Drosophila melanogaster: one gene and its partner. The protein of the gene in region 1 interacts with the protein of each later gene in a pairwise test. Each region holds a gene or a part of one and is shown on either strand. Other genes may lie near its edges.

Region 1 (3,926 bases):
AGAGCGGCGGGTATATCCACTTCATGCCACTTGACTTTGTCCATTCGCAGTATCCGTGTCGTTCGAAAGCCTTTGATTTGTCCGCAGTTAAGGGGCGCTGAAGAGAGTGAATTGAACCCTTCGCCCAAGCTGAAAGCGATTTGGATCAAGGTCGCCGAGCAAGCAATCGTGGGAATTCAATTATTAAGAGCAGTACGCGCGAAGTTATTCATCAAGTTAGTTTGTATTTAGGGTAATCATCCTGCCTTACTTCATATGAATGAATTTCATACAAAAGAATGTGACTTAGCAGCATATAGTGTGAAAAGATGAGTATCAATTATGGATTCTTAATTGCTCATACTTAAATCATCAAATACAGTTATAATCGCTTATCATTGCTTGTCAAAGTGACAAGTGCATATCAGTTTAATAGGCTCTATGACGGGCAGTTTAGACTAACTAAGTAGTAGGTCTCGGTCTCGAGTCTTATCAGTCAAGCGCCAAAGGCCAAACATCAGTGGAGCAATCAATGGAGGCGAAGTACATATGTACTTATTTGCAAAATGTGTTGAATGGAAGTGGATCATCATTGCCCCTCATAAAAGGAACACAGCGGCGCACCCATAACAGGGAAAATAACGAAAGGAGTATGAGAAATATATATTTATACACAGACGAAGTATGTATACCCTTTGGCAAAAAATCTTAAATATAAATATACTTTTATAAATGTGCGCTTTATATTCCATTTCTAAGATATAACTGAATACGATTTGATATTTGAGTATCTACAAATAAGCGCACATCCATTCAAACTAATAAAATAAGCCCGCATTGAAGACAACAACGCAATAAGACACAACAAAATGAAAAAGAAATATATTAATAACTGATAACAACTACTAAGAAAACTTCTGATTTATTATAATTTTTTATTCATGCTCGCCTACATTTTGAAAAAACCTTGTTTGCATAATTCATATAATAAATTAATATATAAGCACAGGTAAATATTTCTATGATAACTCATACACTCATATAATAATCCATCTTATAAAAACTAATTTAGAGTATTTATTTATAGCGTATACTAAACAAACTCCTCACCTACCGATTTTTAAGTAGAGTGGCGGCCGTTTTTGCCCCACCATCCCCTAAAAATTCAAAAAATAAATTATACACCATAAAAACCTGAAACATCCCCAGAATTAATCGATTTTTGTAAATCATATTTATTTTCTTAACTTGGTCACAAAACAGTAACTCCCCATTGCAGGGTATCAAAGCAATCAGGGGGTGTATACAACAACAATGGAGTGCTGCTGCCTAACGACAAAAACAAGAGAGAGCGAGAGCACAAGGGAAAGTTGCGGAGCACCCACAGCTGCACTGCGTCACCCCTTCGCAGACGGTTTTCCATTTCGCATAATTTAATCAGTGTTTAATTGGCTTAAGGAAAAACAACGAATATTACTCACCGTTTTAGATCACTTTAGTTTTAGTCCACCTTAGGGAGCGAACGGAATGTGTAACGTAGGGCGGTTACGCAGAGCGGGGGGTACTGTGTGTATGTGTGCGTATTGTTGTTTGGCTGTGCGGAATTCGATTGCAATTTTTGGGCAATTTGGCGATGCAAAATGCAGTTCACTTTCGTGCTAGCACGCACACTGGCTTCGCGGGGTTGCGGGGCTGCACCGAGAGGCAATTATTGCGATTATTTTCAATTGGTAGGTCGATGCAAATCAGTAGTCTTTTTTCACTGCTTTTGCGTTCTCTTGTTTTGCTTGGTTTCCTGCGGTCACACTGAGCAATTGGCAAGCCAAGGGTCACACTGCCGCGATAGGTGCTTATCGCAGCCAGATGCTATCGACAATCGTGTCTATCGATAGAGGGCGCACGTGTTGCGGACTTCGTTTGTTTATGTTTTAATTTTGAGCAAAAATCGTCCCTCAAGATGTTCGTAAACGAAGTTAACGATGTGAAGATCTACAACCTGAGCGCCGGCAAGTCGGTGCCAGATGTGAGTAGCAAGATAAACCCGTTGCCAAGCAGTTAACTCATGAGTATCTCCTTCACAGTGGCTGACGGATCGGCGAAAGCGGTCACAGCTCATGAAAAAAGTGGACTCCCGGAGACAGATCGAGCTCATCCAGGACTTCGATATGCCCGGCGTCTGCACCAGCATCCGCATGAGTCCCGACCAACAGTACATCCTGGCCACCGGCACTTACAAGCCGCGCGTCAAGTGCTTCGAGGTGTCCAACCTGTCTATCAAATTCGAGCGCTGCTTCGACGCCGAGGTGACCACCTTTGAGGTGATTAGCGACGACTACAGCAAGATGGTGTTCCTGCAATGCGATCGCTATGTGGAGATCCATGCGGCCCACGGGCGGCACTACAGACTAAGGATACCGCGCTTTGGACGCGACATGAAGTACCACAAGCCCAGCTGCGACATGTTCATCGTGGGAGTGGGCAGGGTAAGAACTGAGGTCTATCTAATGTCTAGTTTATTCTAAAGATTTGATTTCAGGACATTTTCCGACTCAATTTGGAGCGCGGTCAGTTCCTGCAACCCTTTGAAACGGATGGCAGCTGCCTGAACGCCTGTGAAGTGAATCCAGAGCACCATCTTCTGGTAGCCGGTACCAAAGAAGGCACCGTAGAAGCCTGGGATCCACGTACCAAGCAACGATGTTCAACTTTGGATGTAGCCATGAAGTTGCCGGGCGTCAAGGAGTTTCCATCGGTCACGGCCCTCAAATTCCGGAACGGCTTGCACATGGGAGTGGGAACTGCTTCGGGACACGTGCTGATCTACGACATTCGCGCCAAGCAACCGTTGCTGGTGAAGAATCATCTGAATCGACTGCCCATCAAGCGTCTGGCCTTTAATCCGGCTCAGAATGCCGTCTATAGTTTGGACGAGGCTACACTGAAGCTGTGGGACGAGCAGACAGGCAAGCAGATCGCCTACGTTGAGTCGACTTCGTCATTCAACGATTTTTGCACCATTCCCGACACGGGCATGTTCTTCGTAGCCCAGGAGGATGTTAAGATGATGACCTATTATGTGCCTGCAATGGGTCCAGCACCCCGATGGTGCTCGTTCTTGGATAACCTCACCGAGGAGATCGAATCGGAGGTCGTGGAGAATGTGTACGATGACTATCAGTTCGTCACAGCGAAGGAGCTGGCTGAATTGGGAATGGAGCATCTCGTTGGCAGCAATCTTCTTAAGGGTTATATGCACGGGTAAGTTTGAAAAAGATTGGAAGAGGTAAAGATCTTGTCTAATACCTAAAAATTCTACAGATACTTTATGGACGCAAGATTGTACAACAAAGCCAAGGCAGTTGTGGAACCCTTCGCCTTCGACCGCTTCCGCAAAGATAAGATCCGCCAAGAAATCGAAAGTGAGCGCAAGTCCCGCCTGCAAATCGAATCCAAGCTGCCCAAAGTCAACAAAGAGTTGGCTCTCAAGATTATGGACGAGCAAGCCAATCCTTCCAACAGTGCCAAGCAGCGAAATGTGCCCAGCCTGCTGGAGGACTCGCGTTTCAAGGCCATGTTTGAGAATGCCGACTTTGAAGTTAACAAGTCTGCCGAGGAGTATCGTCTGCTGGCTCCTGTTCTGAACCGTCTGGATAAATCCAAGGCCAAGGAACTCAAGAAGCGCGTGGAGGTGGCTCATGTGGCGGAGTTGCACGCGGACGAGGCACAGCAGCGCGAGGAAAGCGATAATGACGAGGACCTATTTGGCTTCGAGAAGAGCGATGGCGAAACGAAGGATGACAGCGGAGATGAGGCCTCATCTGACGATGATGACCGAAGGGAGTATGTCAAGGAAATGAAGCAGGCGTACAAACAGGTGAAGCGACAACGTGAGGAAGAGGAGGAGCTAGAAGATGACGAGCAGCAGCCGGATGAAATTTCGGATACCG
Region 2 (3,926 bases), 7.6 Mb from region 1:
AAACGAAGTGAACATTTTATAAATGGATTGAAGTAATCCAAGTAATTCACGAGACTAGCAAAGTAAATGAATAAAAGTCAAGTATGTGCGTCTGCGGACAACTAGTATAATACATAAAAAAATTATTAAAATTAATTTATATTTATCGAACCGAATTAAAAACGCAACTCGAATGAAGACAGCAATAAATACATAACAGTACACAATCTCCGAAACACGATTACCCGCTAAACGAATCGGTTATGAAGCGGTAATTTCGAACGTTTGCGATTATATTCAAGCCATATTGTTATGCACTTGCTGCATAAATAACCCAGTTGAGAAGAAATAAGAATTAACGAAAATGAAATGTTGAACATACAAATTTAGCAGTTAAAAATAAATAACAAATGAAAATATAAATAAATAAATAAATATATAAAGTAAAGAACAATTTAAAATCGGTTTTCTTTTAATTTGATTTTTTTTGTTTAGGTATATAGTGCTACTATTATAATTCTTTTAAATGGCAATTAACAATTATGACATTTCATAGATTTTATTCCTATTTAAAACTTCATATATTAGTTTATTACAGTCTAGACAAACAATGATTTGTACAACTCGGACTTGGAGGCATCCGTCCAGTCGCTACTCTCATTGGGCGCCATGAAGTTGATGAGCTTGTTGTGCACCACGTATCTGAAAGTATATTTAAATGTTCGTGAGTAAATCTTGCAGATATATTACTCTGCTTCACGTACCGCAGCTTTCGCCCCTTGCTGGCCCTGGTGTCCACCTTCTTCTTCATCTTCTGGCGCAGCTTCTGTAGCTCCACGAACTGCTTGGTAATCTCGCTCATGTTGGACGAGGTGCTGGCCTTGTACTCGATGAGCTCCCGCAGCTGCTGGTGGTAGAAATCGCTGTCGTCGTAGATGTGCTTCAATCGCTGCACGGGCGTGTTTTCCTGCTGCTCCGCCTGGCTGTTCTTTGGGGTCTGGGACTTTTCCACGAGCGCCTCTCGGTTCGCCAGGGCGCTGCCGATCTTTTTGATGATGTCGTAGTCCTCCTGCAAGGACTTGCGTTTGACACCCGCTCCGGGGGTCAGGAGTTTCGTACGGTCGTCCCACTTTAACAGAACTTCATTGCGATACCCAATCATTTGTTGGAAATTGCTCTGCAGCACAGAACCAAACTTTTTGACCGCCGGACCCGAATCCTCTGTGGGCTGCTTGCGCTTCACCGACTTTTTCATCTCGGAGTATTGCTGGTGGAGAGCTGACTGGAGGGAGAGCAGTTGCTGCAGTAGCTTGGATGAACGCTCCTGGGCCTCGTTAAGCACCGACTGAAGCTCATCGCTTTCCGATGCCAGTTTCGTTAGAGTTTCCGGTGCAGGAAGCTGATTCGCTTTGCTGGTGAACTTTTGGGTGTTGATCCTTAGCTCGAGAAGACGCTCCCAGATGCGCAGCTGGTTTTGGACGGCAAGTCCTTTTTGGATTTCAGCTTGATGGTTGGTTTTGGACATTACATCCGAGGGTTTGATTGCGTCGTCTTCTGCTTCATCATCTTCTGAATCGTCGTCATCTCCTTCACTTTCCTGGCTATGGTCTTCTTCCTCAGAGTCATCATCCTCCTCCTCATCATCATCATACTTAAAATCTCCAGCCTCAAACTTTTTTTTAAAGTCTGTCAAATTGCTCTCAATCTCCTCACTTTCTTCACCAGATTCGGAATGTCCAGCAGCCGTTTCCTCCTCGGAGTCTTCAGCTCCTCCAGCATTTAACTTCTGCTTAAAGTTTGTCAAGTTCTCATCATCCTCATCGCTTTCTTCGTAGGACACCTCTTGTTCATCATCCTTATCCTCATCGTCATCCAACTCCTTGCGACTGCTGATCTTTCCTTTGTAGCGGTCACTCTGCTCCGAGAGCAGCTTGACGTTCCTCTTCCTAAAGTCGGTGCTCCGGGCATCCGGCAGGTCGTACTCCTCCTCCTCGAAGTCCACCAGACGTGGCCCTGTGGCCACATCGAAGTCCGAGTCCTCTGCGCTGTCGCTCTCGTTCGGATGGGCAAGCAGCTTGCTGACCTTCTCGGCCACCGTCTGTGGCTGTTTCTTTGACTTGCGCAGCATACTGCTAGAGTTTCATTTATAATTTCAAAACGAAAGACCTAGTTTACCACATGGACTGATTGCTAGAGGTGGATGAACATCGATGCACATTTCGATGATATCGATATTTTCACACTTCTTTTAAGCGGAGCAGTGTGACCGCTTACGCAAAGTTTGGTCGAATGCGGTAAAATCAAAAATTTAAAAATTTAAATGACTTCATTTTAAAATTGAATTTCCCCAAAAATTGTTAATTACAAAACGGTGTTAATTTGTTCCTAACACCACAATTATCCAACACCATGTTTATTGAATTTTAGAAAACTTTTTAAAACTTCAATATAGATTTTGTTTTTTAATTCGGCATTCCCAAACTTGTGTAAATGAACTCTCATATATACCCTGAAATATCAAGAATCCTAATGTGCTATAAGTGCTATAAATTCAAAAAAAGTTTTGTATTCAATCATACAAATATAAATAAAGGATGAAAAATGGGTGGAAACCTTACAGATATTAAGTCACTGCATACTTTTGGGCATTTGATTTAAGCCGCGTTGAGTGCAAGCGCAAATACGAAATTAAACGGCGCCCTTGAATGTGCCGTTTATTTCAGTTAGTGCACATTCTGCACGACCACTCATTAGAGCCGCCCCACCGTCGTCTTATCAGGTGCGCCAGGTGCATCTTGATAAGGCCGCGCTCACGCCACTTTCGTAGCATACAAATGTGCGCCGCGGAACGTGAACTTGAAATCCTTTTGTCCGCCCCGGCACGCTCATTAAATTTAATGAATCGTTTTGTCCAATTGCGTATCGTCCGGCCGGCATGAGGTTAAATTGTGAACCTTGGCAGTGGACTTGGCAGATGCCAGTGAAAACTCGACGGGATCAGAGGTGCGAAATCCGAAACAAAAAGGACATACGAGTGGGATACAGAGAGCAAAGTTTTGGGAAAGGAGGAAAGCTCGGAACGAGGCCTATAAGAAGATTCATGTAGATCACTTGTGCCGGCTGAGACGCGACTCATGCGGCAGATAAGGAATCGAAACATTTGGCGATCAGACGGACCACCGTTTGAACTTTGAGTCGTGTACACGCATTGATAATCGTGAAATTTATGCGGGCGGGACCTGAAAACACACACACACATGTGAAGTGTATTGGGGTCGTCCGCTGTTATCAATGTACCTAACATTGTATACCTGCTACTTGAAATTAGGGGTATACCAATATCGTGAGTCGTTTTGTAACACTGACGAAGGAAGTACCTTAAACTGGAATCTTACAGATTAAGAGGGCTCAGAGCTAAAGATAAATTCTACTTTTCCTATCCTTTGAGCAGCTATAAGAGTCATAGAAACGCATTCAGGTGTATAGTCCTTGTCCAAAAAGTAGGCTACGATTTCTACAGGAGGCCGAGGACCAGGTATTTGAATGGTCGGGAGTGCAAAAGCTTCCACTTGTCGCGCTCATCTTCCAGCTGTGTTATCAGTGGCTGCCGAGATCTCGAGTACGAGGCATCAGCATCCCAGGCAGGCAATCGGTTCAGTCAGTTCCTGCTCGTCGATCGGTGTGAGTGTGGATCTGGAGTACCGTTAGTCGTAGTCGTGTGTGCCGTTAAGAAGCTCTCGCATCGTCGATAGCGATAACTACGCGCGTGGGCGGTGGGCAGTGTGAACGGTGTATTTTCGTCGCTGCTGGGAGGTGTGTGCAAAATAGAATTTATTCAAATATATTCAAAAATCTCAGGTTAAAATCAGCTATATCTGTATAGTACACAGCAAAACACGGTGTGGCCGCGTGTTTAGAAAACGCAAAACAAAACGGAAATCGCAAAA

What was found.
Region 2: the proteins of l(2)34Fd (region 1) and Aatf interact in a two-hybrid assay, tested with the Drosophila melanogaster proteins (one large-scale study listed by BioGRID).

What each region holds. Positions count from the first base shown.
Region 1 is NT_033779.5:14,353,008-14,356,933, reverse strand, and holds the start of l(2)34Fd (lethal (2) 34Fd), read left to right. Parts: upstream 1-1,848; 5' UTR 1,849-1,936; coding exon 1,937-2,002; intron 2,003-2,060; coding exon 2,061-2,462; intron 2,463-2,515; coding exon 2,516-3,237; intron 3,238-3,297; coding exon 3,298-3,926.
Region 2 is NT_033779.5:6,715,892-6,719,817, reverse strand, and holds Aatf (apoptosis antagonizing transcription factor), read right to left. Parts: upstream 2,194-3,926; 5' UTR 2,108-2,193; coding exon 744-2,107; intron 682-743; coding exon 579-681; 3' UTR 429-578; downstream 1-428. UniProt on the Drosophila melanogaster protein: May function as a general inhibitor of the histone deacetylase HDAC1.